2 linked regions of the Tamandua tetradactyla genome follow. The protein of the gene in region 1 purifies or fractionates together with the protein of each later gene. This does not show direct contact. Links are inferred from orthologs where the notes say so. Each region holds a gene or a part of one and is shown on either strand. Other genes may lie near its edges.

The links.
Region 2: the proteins of RALBP1 (region 1) and CCDC6 purify together in Homo sapiens (affinity purification with mass spectrometry; 3 studies listed by BioGRID and IntAct, counting the BioPlex papers as one, with this or other methods). This does not show direct contact. The link is inferred for Tamandua tetradactyla from reciprocal best matches to the Homo sapiens genes RALBP1 and CCDC6.

The regions. Positions count from the first base shown.
Region 1 is NC_135344.1:73,017,826-73,028,297, reverse strand, and holds the start of RALBP1 (ralA-binding protein 1), read right to left. Parts: upstream 4,836-10,472; 5' UTR 4,774-4,835; intron 4,741-4,773; exon of another isoform or gene 4,687-4,740; intron 1-4,686. UniProt on the Homo sapiens protein: Multifunctional protein that functions as a downstream effector of RALA and RALB. As a GTPase-activating protein/GAP can inactivate CDC42 and RAC1 by stimulating their GTPase activity.
Region 2 is NC_135339.1:37,348,150-37,358,186, forward strand, and holds the start of CCDC6 (coiled-coil domain-containing protein 6), read left to right. Parts: upstream 1-4,919; 5' UTR 4,920-5,543; coding exon 5,544-5,858; intron 5,859-10,037.

The sequences.
Region 1 (10,472 bases):
TTAAACTGTAAGTTAATAAATCCTCATTATTAAAAGTCAACCCATGGGTGGGCAAGTGGCTCAGTAGGCACAGTTTTCACCTGCAAGGCTGAAGACCCAGGTTTGATTGCCAGTGCCTGCCCATGTAAAAAAAAAGAAAAGCCAACCCATTTCTGGTATATCGCATTCCCTCAGCTTTAGCAAAGTGAAGCAACCTCCTACTTCATTCATATCACATACAAAAATTAACTCAAAATCAATCAACTTAAATATAAATGCTAAAATCATAAAACTCTTAGAAGAAAGGATTAAGAATATAGTTTACCATTCATGAGCTTGCATTTGCATTACATCAAAAGCTGAGGCAACAAAAGAAAAAACAGATAAACTGGACTTTACCAAAATTAAAAACTCTTCTGTTTCCAAAGACACTATCAAGAAAGTGAAAAAGACAACGTAAAAAATGGGAGAAAATATTTGTTAAGGGGTTAGTATCAAGAATATATAAAGAGCAATTACAACTCATCAACAAAAAGACAACCCAAATAAAAATGAACAAAAGACCTGAATAGACACTTCTCTAAGGAAGATATACAAATGACCCACAAGTTCATGAAAAAAAATGTTCACTATCTTTAGTCATTAGGGATCTGCAACTTAAAACCAGGAGATACCATTTCACACCGACTAGGTGGATATTATTCAAAAAAATAGAGAGAGAGAGAGAATATAACAAGTATAGGTGGGGTTGGGGAGTACACATCACTGCTGGTGGGAATGTAAAATGGTTCACAGCCTCTGTGGAAATGTTTGGCAGTTCCTCAAAATGCTAAACATAGTTACTGTATGACCCAGCAATTCTACTCTAACCATATGATCCAAAATAAATGAAAATATATGTCCACACAATAATTGTACATGAATATTCATACCAGCATTTTAGTCATACCAGCCAAAAAATAGAAACAATTTAAGTATTCAGCATCTAATGAATGGATAAAAAATGTGGTATATTCAGACAATGGAGTATACTGGACAATTTAAAGGAATGAAGTACTGATAAATGCTACAATATGGATGAACCTTGAAAACATTATGCTAAGTGAAAGAAGCCGTCACAAAAGACCACATACATGATTCCACATATGAAACACACAGAAAAGGCATATGCAGAGCCAGAAAGTAGATTAGCGGTTGCCAGGCAATGGGTAAGACAAAAGTGGTGAGTGACTGCTAACAGCTAAGGGGTTTCTTTTTGGGGTGATGAAAATGTTCTAAAATTGCTTGTGAGGATGGCTGCACAAGTGTACAAATCAAAAACCACTAAAATGTACCTTTAAAAGGGTAAATTTTATGGTACACGGATATCTCCAATCTGATACAACAAAACAAGTAGGCTCAAATCTTTGCCATGTTAAAATTCCCTCCCTCAGACATTCATCACCTTCTGCTATCACCTCCTTTCTACTTTTCACTTCACAGGTGAGCTTCCAGAAACAATCCACATTTGTTGTCTCCACTCTCTGACCTCCCATTAACTCAAGTCAATAAAATCTAGCTCCTGATACAGTCTACCAAAACTACTCTCACTCATTTATCAAATCCAACAGCCTTCTTGTTATCAACTTCAAAAGACTCTTAAAAATCCTTACTTAAATTAACTTCTTTAAGCATCTGAAGTATAGCTTCCTTTTGAAATGACCCCACTTTGGCTATTATGATATTTCCTTATGATTTCTCCGTATCTCTAAACACTTAAGAATTTCCTTTTCCATTTTTCCCTCTATCTGGCTTCAAATGTTGTTCTTCGGGGTCTACTTCTAGTACTTCTCTCAGTCGGTACACAGTATTACCTAATTCAAAGACTTCATCTAACAGCATATTTAAGCTGATGACCCTCATAGCCAGAACGTTCTCTCCCACTTTAAATTCATACTCAGCAGATGTTTACACATGGATGCTTCACTCAATATATACAAAAGCTAAAATATTGCTTCTCCTCAAATTTGCCCCTTTTCCTAAATTCCCTTACTCACTAGATTGCATCACTGTCTAATCAATCACCAAAATTAAAATCCAAGTCATCTTATCTTACTATTTCTCCTTCACTCCCCAAATCTAATTGCCACCAAGTCCTATGGATTCTACCTACTGAATATTTCTATTAACCTAATCCTCTGTAATCCTACTGACACTGCCTTAGTTTAGATCCTTCTATCACCTCATTCACTGCAGAAACCTCCTAAGCAGTTTTTCTGCATCCAACCTCACTTTCCCTCCATTCTTTCTGAAAAGTATACTCCTTAATACCAGTATGATCACTCTCAAATGAAAACCTTACAATGTTTCTTTACTGATTAAAATTCCTATACTCTATCATTACCTACAGGAAAAAAAATGTCTAAAATTCTTAAATGGCATGTGGTGCTTTTGAGGATCTATCTGTATAGCCTCATCTTCTGCTACTCAACACCACAAATCCAATTCTACTACAGAAAACAACTTTTCATTCTCATAAATGTGTTATGTTCTCTCTCTCCCTCTTGTCTTTGTTCAACTTTCTCTTTGCCTGAAGTCCCTTTCCCTCCCTTTTCTGCCTTAGTCATGTCTAAATTTTCTTTAACTTTAATGGCATAAACTGTAAAGCATCTAATTTTTAACACATAGGAGGGGGTTAAAAATAGGTTCAACTGGCTTAGGTCTCGCTTCTTTGTCGTGTCTCAATGGCTCCCATTTGCCTACAAAATAAAGTTGAAATTACTTTGATGACATATGAGACATAAATCCATAATTTGGTCTCTGCCTACCCCACCCCCAATTTCATGTCTAGGTTGCCATACTTTTGGTCACACTATTCCTTTTAAATGCCCATCCTTTCTATATCTGTATATATATTTTTACTTACCACCCCCCTCTTCTTCAATTCCTCCTTCACTTCCCTTGAGAAACTGATAGCTATCTCCTTTGTACACACATCATACCCACAAACTTTTTTTTCTAATCAAAGTATTCATAAAAATGTATTGTACTGAAACAAAAAAATAAAAGTAACAACAACGACAAAAAACGAAAACAAAAAGATAAAACAAAAAAAGTATTGTGCTTGTTGACAGTTCAAGTAAGGGATACAGTCTCACCATCCTGAAGGCAGGGATACTGCCTTATTCATCTTTAAGTCTTCTTTACCTGGCATGGCACCTGCTGCACGATAATTCCTCTACCCTAAATAATCTGCATTTTTCCTTGTCCTCTCTTACATAATCTAATGGAAGCTTCTATTAGAGATTTTCTTTCAAAATAGAAGATACTTTCAGGTTACATTCTGGGCCTAAATCTCACCTTGAGATAAAGGGTACAAATTAAAGTTAATATGCATTTTCTAATAATATTTTTAATCTTTCTACATTAAGGGAGAAAAGGTCCCTGTAAGATCAATAATGAAAAATAATATTTTGAAGAGCTAGCAAGTTAGGTATAATGTAGTTTTGTTTTTAAGATACTTTGTTTAAAGAATTGCTTGTCAATAGTTACTCAAATTAGTCTGCCAGACTTGGCAGCTATGGGTCAGACAGAAAAGCAGGAACCACTCTCCCGACTTCTTTCCTACCCCATCTACTGCTGACACAGCTTACATTAATTACTCATTTTGAGGAAGATACTCAGAAAACATCAATGCACTAAGATAATTCTAAACGTAGATGTGATCTTACCTTTCTCATTACAGTCCCATTTATTCATTTAGAAATGCTGCCTCCATGGGCTCCAAACCAAAAGTGGCCCTATTCCTTGGCACCACTTAATTTGTGAATATCTGCCCCACTATATTGGAGTGCAGCCCAACGTACTGCAACATTAGAATACGTCCACTCCACCAACCAAAAGTGTCAGTGAAAGTGTTTCTAATCCTGCCGGAAGGTGTAACTCATTGTTCAAACGAGTGTACTTTTCTTACATGCACGTTCAAAACACTTCGAATTAAAAATTTAATCACATTCAAGAACTCGAGTAGGCCGTAGAGGAAACACGCTGCTTGCTCAAGAGGGCGACTCTGTAGTAAGGAATCCCAAAACTTGAAACAGCACACTTACTTCAGGTAAAGCTGAGGCTGGAATAGTTTGTAAAGCCTGGTTCATTCTCAAGGCCACGATAAACTTAAAAAAATTTTAAATTAATAATTTTTAAAAAGCTGACCTCATTGCAGAGCATTTGGGCACATGCACACTTGAGAACGGGTCGTGAGAAGCATTCTCAACTCCAAATCTGTCGGTCCGTTCCCACTGAAACCTGAACTAAGGGCTGTCGTGCCCGAAGGAGCCCGGGGCTCCACCACCCGCCGGGGCACAAATCAAGCGCCTATCTCCAGTCCCCTGAGCAAGCGCTGGACGAGGGTCAACATTCCGGGTAAGAACTAGGAGATAATAACAATGATGAAAAGGGTCCGAGTCCCCTCTCCTCCGCTCAGCGTGCTCCCGAAGGGCTCTCCTACCGCGCGGGAAAGCAAGGCGGAGGCCCCCCACACCCAGAGAGCACCCCACCGCACGTGCGGATGCCACCAGGGGAGGCCTGCCGGCCAGTGGACGGGACAGACAGCAAGGGGGGACAGCACCCCGGCCCGGGAGGAACCCTCACGGGGCAGCCACGCCCCCCAGCCCCCAACTCCAACCCCGACAAGCGGTCAGCACCAGCCCCGCCCGCCGCCTGACAGACCCCGGGGCGAGGCCGGGGCCGCAGGATCCCTGGGTACGCGAGGGGCTCTGCGGCGACCACGGCACGCCACCACTCCACACGACTGACCTGTGCGCGCCGCCGCGCGACCGCCGCCCCAGCCGCCGTCGCCACCTCGCGCTCACGCTGCCGTCGCCGCCGCCGTCACCGCCCCCCGCGCCGCGCCCCTGGCCGGCCTCAGGAACCCCATCCCCACCCCGCCCAGCCGCCGCCTGTTTACAATGACTGGGATGGAACGGGACGAGCCGGCCCCGCACGCAGGCGCACTCCCTCCCCGCGCCGCTTCCGGGTGTCCTGCTGCTGCAGGCTGACGGCTAAGGCCGTCGAGGGCCCCTCGCGCGGGGCACGCTGGGAGGCGCAGTCCGCGGAAACCCGACGTTCGGGCCGCGGGAGGACGCCGTGCGGAGGGTGTGCACTACGATACCCAGGAAGCATCGCGCGCCCTGCGGCCCCGGGCGCGCTGTGGTCACCGAGAGCGCGAGTGTGCGCGACGCGCTGGTCCTGCGCCGGCGCCTGCGCAGTGCGCGGCCTTGGGAACTGGGTGGGCTGCCTGCCCGGAAAAGGAGTGAACGGCGGTGGTTTGGGGGCTGTTCCCGTGGTGGTCCCTCCGCGTCCTGAGCCGCCTGTCCTCGGCTTTCGAAGTCCAGCCCTTGCTTATTGCCAGCGGGCTTCAGTGGTGCTAACCGGTTAAACCAGCCTCGGAGGCCGGCCCAGCCTGCCGCAGGGTGGGGCGAAATCCTGGCCTTCAGCTGGGCGGGGGACCGTTCATTTCGGTGGGAACTCTTTTGCTTGGGGGTTTTGGGAAGAGGAAGCGACGTGGACTTGTGGGGGGAGACTTGTAAAAACTGTCGGGATCGTCTGCAAAATTCCTTGGTCCCTGTGGGGCAGCGGACAGCTGCCTGCCCGCCACCCATCCCTTTGGCGCCACGTTTACGAAACACCTGGATAAGAACTGCCCAGCTGCATATTTAAGGCACCGGTAGAACTGGAAATAGTTGGGTTTCCTCCAGAACCGAGGGCGTAGAAAAGTCCTTTGTAAAGGACTTGAAGAATTGTTCTAATGTACATTGAGGGCTGGAAAGCAGGGTCTTATCACTTGTTCTTGCTTTATGAAAGTAGGCAGTTTTTTAGGGAAGAAGTGGGGTTTGGGACAGATAGATGGTCGTACCCAGTCGCTTCCTTTACTACCTGCATTGCTCTCTTTAAAACTTCATTATATATTTGGATTGGCAGGCCACAATCAGCCGACACTATCCCTCCCAGATCAGTTTTTCTCAAATCTAAGTACAGATTTATCTTCTGTACTCTGCATGTCCTACCCAGTAAAGTTCAGCGCCCCCCTCAGTCTTACACGCAAGAGCTTCCCACAATTGGATGCTGAGGTGGTCTGTGGTAGCCACTGTTTTTTCAGACTGCCCCAAAAAAGTTCTCATCACTGCTTCTGGAAACAACAGTTTCCTCTGACCACTGGGGTAGGGATGTAATCATTCATATCACTAGACCCTGTGCTCTGGCAACGCTGATTGGGCCAAGGAACAGGCACTGACCCAAGCTAGGTCCATGCCAGAAGTTGCTGAAAGGACGCAAAGAAGGGAGAAAAAAGGTTTCTGCTGAGGTCACTGCTGATGATTATATTCCATGCAATATCTGTTTGCAGTAAGAATGAACGTGGCCAATTGAGATTGCAAAGAACAAAGAAAGGAGAAATGGAGGAGAGAAAGCAATTCGTAGCATGTATGCAGTTGGTTGGGGCTCAGAGCCGGTATTTCCTGCAACTCGTCTCTATGTGCTATGAGTCTATGAGTCTAATGACTCAATATATTCATTCATGTACTCATTATTATTAAGGGCTAATGTGTGTGATTATAGAAGATATTTGTTAGTTTCCTCCCAAATATTTGTTCCTCCCATTTAAGCCATGCAGCATATCCATTCTCTGTGACAATTATGATAGTTTCAGAGAGATATGTATAGCCCAGTCAGAGTCAATGAATCCCACAGAAACTTGTGTTGGGGCCTCTAGGAAAGTGCAGCTTTCTTATGTTCTGATGTTGTTAGTTTGCAAGTTGCCGGAATACAACATGCCTGAAATGGAATGGCTTTTTAGAGGGGGAATTTAATAAATTACAAGTTTACAGTTCTGAGGCCATGAAAATGTCCAAATTTAGGTGCCTACAAGAGGTTACCTTCACTCAAGAAAGGCTGATGAAGTTTGGGGGTTCTCTGTCAGCTGGAAGGGCACATAACGATGTCTATCTTTCTCTCCCGGCTTCTGGCTTCGTGGAGTTCCCCAGGGGCTTTTTCCTTCCTTATCTCCAAAGGTTTCTGGCTGCGTGGACTCTTTTGGTTCTGGTTGCTCCAAAGTTTTTTCCAAAATGATTCCGTCTTAAAGGGCTCCAGTAAGCAACCCCACCTTGAATGGATGGAGACACATCTCCATGGAAACCATCTAATTAAAAGTTACTACCCACAATGGGATGGGTCATGTCTTCATGGAAAAAGTCAAAAAGGTCCCACCCAGCAATATTGAATGAGAATTAAAGTACATCGCTTTTCTGGGGTACACAACCGATTCAAATCAGCACAGGTATGGTCTACGAATATGAGAACTGAAAAATGTGGTAACATTTTGCACCTGTAAAGAGAGAGCCTGGAGGCATGGGGTTTAAAAGGGAAGGTGTTGGTTGAGCTTGAGGATGACACGAATACTGTCAAATAAGTACCAGAAAGATGGAACAGAACCTTGCTCTTGGTGACACCATTAGAGCTACACAATCAAACCTCACCTGAAGCAAGACTTGTGCCTATAGACTGTTCAGTATTGTGAGCCATACAATTCCCATATTGGTTAAGCCAGTTTGTGTTGGGTTTTCTGTGACTCAAAGTTCTGAAAGTCTTACCTCATTCAAATTAGATTTCTTTTACATGAAACTGAAAGGCCCCTTAAGAATAAATTATAAAAGGGATTTTGTCTATGACTGTGTGACATGACTGGCAATTCCTTTGAACCTAAAACGAGTATGAAACTAGACAAAATTGTCCAAAACAGCAATTTCAGGGCACCAGAAATCAACCGAACAAATTGAAGTATCTTTTCTTGGAAACCTGCTAGAACTTCCAAAAAAAACAGGAAATCTGCGACCTTCTTGCTTGAGGCTATTCTAATCCAGTCCTATTGCCCCCGTTCCATTGAACCAGAATTCTAGTTTTACCATGGTGGACCAGGCTAGCAAAAAGATTAGCAGCTTTGCTGCAAGAGGGGATGGACTACATTTGTTGTGGGAAGTCAAAATTCACAGTATTACAGTAAAATTTGCATGCTCGGGTGAAAATAAACGTGGAAAACCCACAATTTTGCTAACTACAAGTGGGGCAAATGACAAAGCAACCAGAAACATCTTCCAACAGGAAGATATCGGTAATAGACTCATCTGAGGGCTAAAATAAGTTCTTTAAATGCCCCTGGCTGGCTGGGAAACTATTCACATGCATGGAGGTGAGTGAAGGGACCCATTGAAAGCTGAAAGCCAAGGGAAACTTGAGAACTGGTGGCAACTTTGATTGCATCTCTTAATCCACCCAAAGATCTACTGGCAGAGGGAGGAAGATTTACAAACCCACGATGTTTGAGTAAAACTTTTGCCCAAATCATTATCTGACCACTCAGCTATGCAGATGCAGAATTAAATCAGAATTAAAAAACAGCAGACACATCAGAAACAGGACAAGGATGCCCACTGTCACCACTGCTATTCAGTGTGGTACTAGAAGTTCTAGCCAGAGCAATTAGAAATAATAAAAGGCACCCAAATTGGAAAGGAAGAAGTAAAACTTTCCCTATTTGCAGATGATATGATCCTCTATATAGAAAATCCTGAAGAATCCACACAAAGCTACTAGAGCTAATAAGCAAATTCAGCGAAGTGGCAGGGCACAAGATCAACATGCAAAAATCAGTAGTGTTTCAAAACACTAGGTAATGAACAATTTGAAGAGGAAATTGAGAAAAATTTTCCATTTACAATAGCAACTGAAAAAACTAGTATCTGGGAATAAATTTAACTAAAGACTTGTATGTGGGAAGATACAAAATACTGCTGAAAGAAATTAAAGAAGACCCAAATGAATGGAGGGGCATTCTGAGTTCAGGATCAGAAGACTAAATATTAAGATGGCAATTCTTCCCAAAGCAATCGACAGATTAAATGCAATACCAATCATAAATTCCGACAATCTTGGAATGAGACACTTCAGATGTCTGTCTCTTCACAGAAGCTTTGCACAACGAGCAAGAACTGGCAGAAACATCTTCTCAAAGTTTCAGAAAACAGTTAAAAGAATGCAATTACAGGGCAGGCACCAGATCAAGAAAAGGCTACTTAAAAGCAAGATTTCTGGCACCCTAGCTGGCCCTTCCCTCATCCCTTATCAGCTTGGCACAGAGTCATCCTGTGTTCTCAGGCTTGGGTCCTGGTTCCAGAGGGAGCAGAGTGGCCCACACACACACACATGCTGGGAATGCATGTATCTGACCCAGTCTATCTGGTGGTGGCTTGAGGGACTCCTCATCCCAGAACTTGGCTTGCATGTAGGAGACAGCTCATGGAGTTCTGTCTGTGAGAGAGCGGTCAAGTCATGCTCCTGCAGCAAGGCATGGCTGGCTGTAGGATACACAGCAGGCTGCCTAGGACCATAAAGAAACTTTCCTAGAAAGGAGGGAATCTTTGTAAATAGGGGAATTCCTAAGGCCACAGAGAAAATGCATGCACAGAAAGGATTAGGAAGGTCCCTTCACTTTGGCCTAGAACTATTCTCAACACATGGGTGGATAAATCCAGAAGGAGAGCACTTGCACAGGTCCATCTACAAAGACCTGGCATTCAAGGAAAACTTAGTATTACTATTAGCTGGATGCAAGCCTAAGGAACAGATGCCATAGAGTTTAAATCACAGCAATAACACGGTAAGATAGAGAAATGAACTTCTGGGAAGATGGCAGATTAGGATAGGCAGAACTCACTCTTCCACTATAAAACAACTAGAAAGCAGGCAGAAAATGACCAAAGCAGCAGTTCCAGAGCCCAGTGGCCAGAGACAAACTTCTGCATTGTATAAAGAAAACAATGCAGAACGGATGGAAAAGCAGAGAAACTACGACTGAGAAATTGGGGTGAGTGTATTCAATCGCAACCACCTCCAAGGTCTAACAGCCAGATCAGCCAACCGAAGAGTGACACGCCCCAGTTCAGAGAGGTGGGGGAGGCAATCCTTACAGTCCCACAGACTAGCATTCCCATGTGGGACCCCTGGAGCCAGTAGACTCATTTTATCCACACACAGAGACCCTGCTATGATGCCCAGTGCCTATCCCCCATCCCTGAGGCAGGCTGCTGCAGGTGCCTGGACTTAAGGGAGTCTGGGAAGCCCTCCTCTCAGGAGGAGAGGGGGATGCAGAGCAGAGCCGATCTGAAAATTGGCTGGCAAGAGAGACAGACGCTCTGGGTCCCATTGCCTCAATCCTTTAGGCACAGGGGCTCAGGGCACTCACTGCGAACAGAAGCAGAGAGGCAGAGGCCAGGCAGCTACATTGCAAAACTAGGTGCCCTTCCCACACCCCCGAGGCAGTCTTGCTGGCTAGCAAAAAGCAAAGCACTCCTGGGCCAACTGCAAGCTGGTAAAGTCAAACCTCCCTATCCTGCAGGAGTATGGAAGTATGGAACCACCAGACCCAATATAAGCCAGAGTCTTTGCCATTGCACACAGTGCCC
Region 2 (10,037 bases), on another chromosome or scaffold:
TTGAATGGAGTTGGCATCCTTCTCAAAAAGCAATAAATGTGAGGATTTTTTTCTGAACTCTCAATTGAATTCCTTTGGTCTATGTGTCTGTCCTTGTGCCAGTATGACACTGTTTTGACCACTGTAGTCTTGAAATTAGACAAAATGAGGAAATGTATTTTGCAGTTTTAAATATTCTTTTTGGTTCTCTTATAAAGCTGAATGTTCTGTTTTCAACTCTGACTCTACCTTTCTCTCTTGTGCTTCCTATTCCTTTTTTATGGCTTAAATTATTTTCAACATACTTCATTTTATCCAATCCAACTTTATCCAATATTTGTCAACTGAAGTTCTAGGAAAAACTATTGTGGTCCATTGCTGATTTTTGTTCAAAACGTACTGTTTCTCTCTGCATCTTATAATTTTCAACTGTAATCCCATCTTCAATTTGAGATTGTACCTTTAGGCTGAATTGTGTTTATGTAGGCCAGGTACAACAGGAATATCACCATCCCAGCTCCAACTATTTCTTTTTTATCAGTTTTTTTTTAATGATGTATTTTACATACAGTACCATTCACATCTTTTAACTATCAGTTTGATGAGATTTGATAAATGTACACATTTATGCAACTACCACCACAGTTAAGATATGAACATTTCCATCACCCAAACAGTTCCCATGTTAGCCCAACTTTTAGGATAATATCTTATCTGGGGATTTCTGGACCACGTAGGTAGGATAAAGTAGAAATGTGTGAACCCCCTAACTGCATGTGGCTTAGATCTAAATTACAATTTTTCCAAAGAGATTATTTTTTCTAAATCTGAATCCAGGCAAAGGCAACCTTCCTGTTTGCTGGTAGGAAGATCCCTCTTCTTCCCCACTCCCTCCAGTCTTTCTTTGCTGGTGTAGTTCTTTGAAGGCTCTGGCATTTCATGGGTGTCTTAGTAACAACTTCTTGCTTTGTATGGCCCTAAGACAAGTCCTGTACCTGCTGGATAAATTCCATGGTTAACAAGCTGCTGTGCCTAGTCTCAGCTGCCAGGTTTAGTACTTTGGTTTTTTAGTCCTCCCTCTTCCTCCTTTTCTGACACACAAATTTTAATGAAGTATAATTTACATACAGAAACGTACACAAATCATAAATAAATAGTGCAATACCTTTTCACAAGTGAACACACCTGTGTAACAAGCACAAAGCTCAAAAAAAAAGAGAACATTACTAGAAATCTAGCACACTTTCCAGTTACTACCACTTCCAAAGAGAATCTTTATCCTGACTTCTATTAATTTAGCCTAGTTTCAAATTTTATATAAATGAAATCATTCAGTATATACTTTTTTGTGTCTGGCTTTTTTTCACTCATCATTGTGTTTGTAAGGGTCATTCATGTTGCTTCATGCAATTCTAATTCATTCATTCCCATTGACTCATAATACTTCATTACGTGAATATAACAGAATTTATGATCTAGCCCACTATAGGTTGATATTTAGGTTGTTTCCAGTTTTCCTCTTTGCTTTTGGACCCTGGGATTTCCTTCTATTTTATTTTGCCCTCTGCTGTACATTTAATAGGATTTAGAAAGTGTTTCCTGGTCACTATTTCTAGATGTTCTGTGTTGGGATATTTTAGTTTTTGTAGGCTGCCAAATCTCCAGTTACTCATATGGTTATTTTTTTTGCTGAAATTCTTATTTGATTCTCACCTGACTTACCTTAGGTGATGACTGTGGTTTGTAGAAATAGTTTGGATTTCTGTGAACCAATAATGAGTGATAGAAAACAGGAGAACAACAGAGGTGTTAAGCTATATAATTGATCTTGAAGTCATGATCTCTTGCCGGGGGAGATGCTGGTGAGCAAAGTTAGTTTGGCATTAATGGATGTAAAATATGGAAAAAACAAGTTAAAGAAATAGGGGTGGCTGAAGACAGTAATTGTCAGAGGTGTGGATATGGTTGTTTGGGTCCAGGATCTTCTGGCTAGTTGTCACCAAGGAGACGAAATGAGAGAGACACTCTCTTGATGACTCTGTGGTATGTAATCAATGTGTTGCCAGAAAAGCCACTCTAAAGCGGACCTGCTTTTGCCCTTCAAAAGTAATTGCCCTACTAGACATGTGATTCTCAACCAGGGGCATATTTGGCAATGTCTGGAGACATTTTTGGTTGTCATGATTGGCGGCACGTTACTGACATCTAATGTGTAGAGAGCCTAGGGAAGCTGCTAAACATCCTAGGATGCCCAGCACGGCTCCCGCAACAAAGAATGATCTGACCCCAAGTGTCAGTAGTATGGAGGTGGAGAAACCCTGTATTAGGTCTAGGTACTAGATGCAGCCTCTAAATCAAACACGCATTTAAATAAACACTATGAGCTATCTTTTAGGAAGTGATAACCCCACAATGATATATTCTTCTATTTTTCCATCAAAATTCTGTGATAACTAGTTTTGTGATAACCAGCTCACACTTAGCTCCTTTAATTCTTTTCAAAACCCTAACAATGGCTCTGACAACCACCAATCCATTCAGAGTTTGAAGAGAATCACTCAGATTGCACATTTATGTAAGTAGATATGTACAGCAATTTATTTATAGCTATGAAAATCATTGTAATTTTATTGTTGGAAAAAACACCAAAGTTCCAAGGCTATAGGGTGAATCAACTGCAAAGATGGCACTAAACAAATAAATATTTTGCTGTTATGCCTTAAAATTAGATTACAAGGTATTGTTTTCCTTTGTTTTTCTAGTTTTTGCAGCTCGGATTTAGTACAAAGCTAAATTTCATTGTTTCTTCAATGGAGGTGATTATCTAAATTTGCCCCTCCTTCCTCCAGGCACCACACACTAACATCTATTCTTCTGATTCATTTCCCCTAGAAAGCTGCAAGGGAGTTTTATAATGATATTATTGGTTTTGTAACTGGTGATTCCATTGTAATGCTATTACTGAGCCAGTGTTGTGATAAATGGTCTGTTTATAAGGGGAATCACTTTTACAAGAAATAGAAAATTAGACACACTTCTGCTTTGCAATAACATTAAAACCACAGTGAAAAAGAAATTCTCCGGTTTATTCCCATCTGTAGCAGCAGGGAAGCCTTAGAAGATGGCTTTCTCCCTAAAGTCTTCTAAACATGATTACTGCCTACACATACCATGTCAAAATGCAGATTTCCTCCAAATCCTATTCAAGACCAAAGCATTCTTAAGCTTACCATGACGTGGGCCCTTTAAGAAAGCCAGGCGCTTCAAACTCCACCCCCTCTGCTGACTTGAAGCAGTCAAGCTGCCTTTTTGAGGCAGTTAGTTAGTGATAAAGCTGAGAGGGCGCCAATTTGCCCCCTGCTCTGCGGGGAAGGAATGTTCCTGTTGCTGTAAGCTCTAAAAGTGGAAGCTTTAGCTACTATGGGATAGGGAACAATAGAAACATGTGAACTATGGAAGCTAGACCCACTCTTAAGATTCTTTCACGGTGCTGAATAAAGGGGAAAGAATGTTGTTTAATCGGAGCTTTCCCCTGCGGTGCTGCTCCCTGCTAGCTTTACTCTTCCATTTCACACGGCCAGTGAGTTTTCTAGAGCCGTTTCCAATTTAACAAGCTGCTTATATCATTTACCCAAAAGAAAAAGCTAGGAAGACATGTAAGTTTCAATGAAAATTAAACCAGTTCACTTATAACAGAATTATTTAGATTCGCTTTGTTTCTGAAGCACACAGCCATATTTTGGTCACACCAACAGGGTCTAAGTTCAGAAGTCCTCCAGCAGTAAACTAAAAAACAGGAGAAATTTGGGATTTAATTGCAGTTGGCATTTCTGAGCTGTCTGCTAGGAATAGCCACCTCAGTAAAAGATGATGTCATTTGGAACATTTGCAATTTAGAGTTTATTCTGAGGTACCAGTTTCCATTAGCCACTGAATAATGGTTTAATCATTACATCAAATTTAGGTGCAACGATAAGGTAGGGGATAAAAATCATTAAAGCCATTTCTTTTCCTTCCTAACATTTTTATAAACCTTTCAAAAAGCTGAAAGCAGTAGGCATTTTTTTTTTTTTTTTGCATGGGCAGGCTTGGGGAATCGAACCAGGGTCTCTGGAGTGGCAGGCGAAGCAGTAGGCATTTTAAACAATTGTTTTATTGGTAGTATTATTTTTTCTCTTTTGTGTTTCCTGTGTTTGTTCTTTCTTTGACCAAGCTTGGAAACTAAAACTAGTCCAGCCAGTTTCACTTTCCAATTTTTATACATAAGTGAAAGCTGTTTTTTTTTGTGCCAACAGTGTGGTATTTAGAATCAAATCACCTGCTGGGCCAATTTCCCGCAACTGGTTTTTGGGAGGGGGAGGGGAAATAAAATTTGATTAGGAATTTCTTATGCTTCAAAGCTAGAATCCTGTATTAGACCATATTAAAGTAATTAAAGTTTTTTTTTAAAAGCTATTAAAGTTTTCTAAATAAGGGTAATGATCATATTTTCTTTCCACTTGACCATCACAAATTTGTACAGCAGAATGCTATGCTTTCATTTACTTTGGAAATTTGGCACTTACATGTGTTTCAATATTTACACCAGAAGTGTTTCTCTTCCCTTTCTGACTTTGAATTAAATAACTGTTAGTGTCTTAATCCTTTTGGTTGACATGTGTTGATACTGTTTGCAAGATGCACAAAGAAAAAAAAATAATTCTAGCTTGCTTAAATAATTGAGCGCTGTGTAGGTTTATGAGATTAGGAGGAATAGAGAGGGCGATGTGCCTCTTCGGCAAATTCTTTTTTAACGAGGTTAGCCTGTGTCTATTTCACCCTACTCTGCTCCTTGGAGGGGAACGTTCTGTTCTCTTTGCTCCATCCAAAGCTTCTCAGCCAGTACTGGGAAGATAAAACTGCAAGGGCCGCGTTGATGTGTGACAGACAGAGGGAGTTACCCGCACACACAAATCGGCGGAAGATGGGGCCACGACACGACCGGGGCTGGGTGCAGGAGCCAGGCTGACCTTTCCACGTGTCCTCAGCACCTGCGAGGCTGGTTGGGCATTGGGTTTCTCTTTCGCCGGAGTAGGCGCGAGCCCGGAAGAGGCTGGGCTGCCGTGGTTTAGGTCAGGGGTCTCGGAGGCCCTCCCCCAGACCACGTGCGGACTTGGAGCTGGTGGTTCGGACGCTGGCCTGGCTTTTCCGCACCCGCAGTGCCCCCACGTCAGCAGCTCGCCTGCGGACGCCAGGAGACGGGACGGGACTGCGGGCGGGTTCCCGCAGCTTTCCGCAAGCCTTGTAGAGCGGCCTAGCGAGCGCGCCAGGCCGGGCTGGAGCGAGCCCCAGTGCAATACTGCCCGAGCCCGGGCGGGGTCTCTGTTCTCTGGCAGAGGAGGTCCCTTGGCAGCGGGAAGCTCTCTCTCTTTCTCTCGTCGCCGCTCCGAGTCTGCGCCCTGGTGCCAGGCGCTCAGCTCGGCGCTCCCCTGTGCTTGCCCGGCGCCCACTCATTCGCAGCCCAGCCTTCGCCGCCGCCGCCTCCCTGCTCCTCCTCCTCCTCCTTTCCCCAGCCCGCCGCGGCCATGGCGGACAGCGCCAGCGAAAGCGACACGGACGGGGCGGGGGGCAACAGCAGCAGCTCGGCCGCCATGCAGTCGTCTTGCTCGTCGACCTCGGGCGGCGGCGGCGGCGGCGGTGGCGGCGGGGGAGGCGGCGGCGGAGGTGGGAAGTCCGGGGGTATTGTCATCTCACCGTTCCGCCTGGAGGAGCTCACCAACCGCTTGGCCTCGCTGCAGCAAGAGAACAAGGTGCTGAAGATCGAGCTGGAGACCTACAAACTCAAGTGCAAGGCGCTGCAGGAGGAGAACCGAGACCTGCGCAAAGCCAGCGTGACCATCGTGAGTGCTCCCCCGGGGCGCGCCGCAGCGCCGACCTCCGCCCGCCTCCGCGAGCGGCTGCATCCCAACCCGGGCAACCCTATAACCCCCACTCCCCAGGCTCCTGGGGATCTGCAGCGAACAACTCCTCGCTGAGACCTGCCCGCGCCCGGAGAGGAGGGGGGTGGTGTCTGTTGCGGGGGGAGAGGGCATGTGTCCTTTAGGTGGCCATGGGGGTCTGCCCTTCCTTGTGGTCCGGGTCCCTCGCGGGGTTCGGGGAAAAACAGTTGGGGCAATCCCCGACGGTTTCTTTTCGCCTTTGGGGAGGAGGCCGCTCCGGGGCAGGGCTGCAAGCTGGCGGCGTGGCTGGGGGGCGGGGTGGGACTGCTTCAGTCTTAGCTTGCCTGTGGGGTGCGTCCGGAATCTAGGGGAACCCTAGGCTGGGAAAGAGGGAAGAAGCATGGCCCTGTTCCAAGGGCCTGGTTTGAGGTGCGCAGCTGGGCTGGGCACTCAGCTGGTATCTGGACGGCTCTGGCGGGATCGCCCGGGGGTGGGGGGTGGGGTGGGGCGGGAGATTGACCGGGAATCCGGGAAGTGGAGTTCTCTGGTCAGGATCGAGAGAGAAAGGCGGGCACCGGCGCTGGTGCACCCTCCTCTGTTGGAAAACCATTCCTTTCGGGGCGGGATATATATACGGGAGAGTACAGCATCCAACACTGACCTAGACAGCTGAGGCCGAAACCAGAGTGAGGGGTTGCGGCTGCGACTGTCTTGCTGAGCAAGCTGTCCGTATGCTTCCTCATTTGGTGGTGGAGTGTGTAAAGGTATATTACCTCCGAGTCCAGGTACTCGACTGAAGAACAGGCCATCTGTTTTCACCTGGTCCCTGGAGGCTTCCCAGAAGGGTAAGGTTAGGTCTGTAGTTCTGTCTGTAGTGGGCTGTGATGAGGGGAAACATAACTGGAAAAAGTACACTGTGTGCTCTTAACATCCCTGCCAGCTTGCCACATCATTAACATGCAGAATCCTCATACAGACAACTCTATTCAGATCAAAACAGCCACCCATCCAGGAGCAGAGAAGAAAATGTCAAGGAATCAAAGGAATAAATTGCCTTAGCTGCTGGACAATAGCTGATTAGGTGGATTCTTCAGATGAGAAAGGGGAGAACTTTTAGTATGGATCAAAGGTCACGGCCTGGAAGTGAAATAGGGCAAGTTTAGGATGACCCTGTGCCAGGAAAGGGTCTTGAGTGGAGGAGTATGTGTGTTGCCCCAAAATGAGCTTGTGCATGGGAATTGGATGGCATTCTTAATTCGTTTCGAAAGCAGGTTTTCCATCGGAATTTGCTGGCAGCAGCCTAATTAGGAATTGATTGTAGAAAGGCACTTTGTATGTTCGAACCCAGTCCTGGTGAACGGAATTAGAGCAACATTCACCCATATCAAGACTATTAAGTTTCTGAAGGGCCCTTAAGGTAGCAAGGGGGAGGAATTTGCAGAGGCAGCCTCCAAGCCTCTTTTGTAGGCTTTCTTGACTGAGAGAAATATCTCAGCCTGCTGGGATCTTGAAAAGAGGGAAACGTTGATGTTGCCAGTTTATTTAAGGTTTGAGTGAGTAAATGAGAGGGTTGCTCTCTTGGAGAATTTGAACCACCAAAAAGTAGTGAAACTTTCCTGAAACAGAATCTCTAGCCTCTTGCCTACAGCCAGCAATTCAGGCTGTTTTTGTTTGTCTGGGATGGAGGAATGGCTGGTGGGGGGTGGAGATGGAGAGATTATGAAAGGGTTATCTGTTTGACACTTTGACCATACTATAAGTAGGTCTGTAAATTGTACACAAACATGTTGGCTCTGCACAGTCAAAACACGTTCACTCCTGGTATAAAAGACCAGAGGCCTTCTGAATACGTGGATTGAGAAGTGTGTAAGGTGATGGCTTTATTTATTTATTTTTTTAGCACTAAACCTCAGCTAAAGTTGACATTTAACCTAATACACTTTGTGAAGTATTCTGTGGCTTTACATTAAAAAAATGTTTTGGATGACAGCCTAACAAGTACCACTACTAGAAGCTTCTTAGTTCTTTTCTTATCTCTAATTAATATATTCAGGGAGACAAACTTGTGGTTCAGCTGGGTCTCCTAGTACTGGGCAGGTGTTGGTTACTAAGGAGCTGTATGACAGCTGCAGAGAAAAGAGTTCCTGCAGGCATTTAAGGATTTTGTTGATTGACTTAGGATCCAGAGTGTGATGGGATTGGTTTTCAACCATCAGGTATGTAATTGGGGAGGAGAAACGTGCAGACTCCATGAAATGGGTTTGTGAATGTTTGAGTCCATGGAACATGATTGTGGTGGTTTATGTCAGGGTTAATCTGCGGCATCCCTGGCACCTCTCACTTAAAAACATTACCCTTGCTAGTAGCTGCCTAAGCTGTTTATCACATTGCCTAGATAATCAATTAAGTGAAGGCCTTGGTAGATTTTTCATTGTTACTTAATTTGAAGGGAAGATGGTATCATAATCGTATTACTTACCTTTCTGGCTCTTAGCCCCCAGTTCCTCTAATTATGATATTAAGTTTCATGTTCTCGAACACTAGAGGTGATTGTGGATGTCTTTCCTTTGCCCTGATCATGTACAGGAAGGACTTTACTAATCAGCCACACCCTGAAGAAGAGAGAGAGGCCTTCCTTTCTTTAGCCAAGTCAAGGAGCTAATAGAAGCCCTTATCTAGTGATCTTTTTTATCGCTTTTGGTATCTAAGTGTTTATTCTGATCAAGCTACCCATTTAATAAAGAACTAATTTCATAGGTCTGTGCTCTCCCACCTCCTGTAATAGAGGGAAACCTCATCCACAGGGAGAATCAACTCTAAGAGTCCTTGTCTCCATGTTTTCAATGGTCCAGTGCATTTTATTTGTGGCTTAGAGATGGAATGCAGTGTTTTGAGTGACTATCTAACTTCACAGAAAAATTGGCAGTGGAACCAGGCTGCAGATTATAGATCATAATTTCTTCCCTGGGATGGGGGAAATAAGCAAAAACCAAGTGCTCAGACGCTTTTTTGAATCCCTTATGAATCCTTTATATATCAGAGTAGTTTTTAGATGTTAGAGCAGATGTGTCTGGCTTGCACTGTGGGTGCAAATGTGAATGTGAATTATCTGATTCAGTGTAGTGAGAGATGGCAAGGGATGCTAGTCTCTGAGAAGCTGTGGAAATGCAATTGTGAGCAGTAATTGGAAGGTTTTAAAATCACCAACTTGTTGCCGCTGTTCTCAGAATATAAGCAAGGTCTCACATGGTGGAGGCTGGTTGTCTTAGGGTGTGTGCTTTTTCTAGAGGTTCAAACCCTTTAGCATATGTTTGATTGGGACATAGAGATCTACTATAAATCTTTAGCATCAAAGTGTCCTTTCCTGACTAAAATTAACCATTATAGAAATTTAGAAAAATACCTAAATTTAAAGACATTTTGCAGTTATTGTAGGGAAAATGTGGTGTGGCATGATTAGAAAAGCTGACTCTTCTAAGCATCAACATTATAATGGTTTCATTAACCAGTAAAAGCCACCATATAGTTAATGTTGTGTATTTTGGATCATTCAGCTTGGCAGCCTAATACTCTGTTTTCCATTTTTAAGACTTCATTTTGGCAGACACTCTGAAGCAATCAGATTGGCATAGCGCTTGTAAAGAGGCGTGGTGGGTTTTTTTCCCTGTTTAAAAAAAAAGTCTTAAATTCTTATGGAAATATCCAACTTTAGACACAACTTTGGGGAAAGTATGACCTCATAGTTAAGTCTAACTATATATAAGCCCAGTTTTCTTAAAGAGGCTATTCTCAAATTCCTTCTGCATTTAAAGTACTTCACATTTATAGGTACCTTCCCTGTGTTTTATATAATTTGTTTGTACATGATTAAAACAAAACAACTTGGAGGAGGTTGTGGCAGTCAGTTATTTTGCTGAGGGATGGGGAATAGTTCAGAGAATCATCGGTGTCCAGTTCATGGTAACTCTTTGTTCATGACTAGTCTAAAGCAAAAATTTGAAGTAGTCTTTGCTTGCTTAAGAATTCTCAATGGCTCCCACTTTCTAGCTGTTTAATAGGCTCTGTGTGAACTGGCCTGGGCTGGTTTTGTAGCCACACCCCTTCTGGTCTTTTGCTCTTTTTGAATCCCTAGTTCCTGGA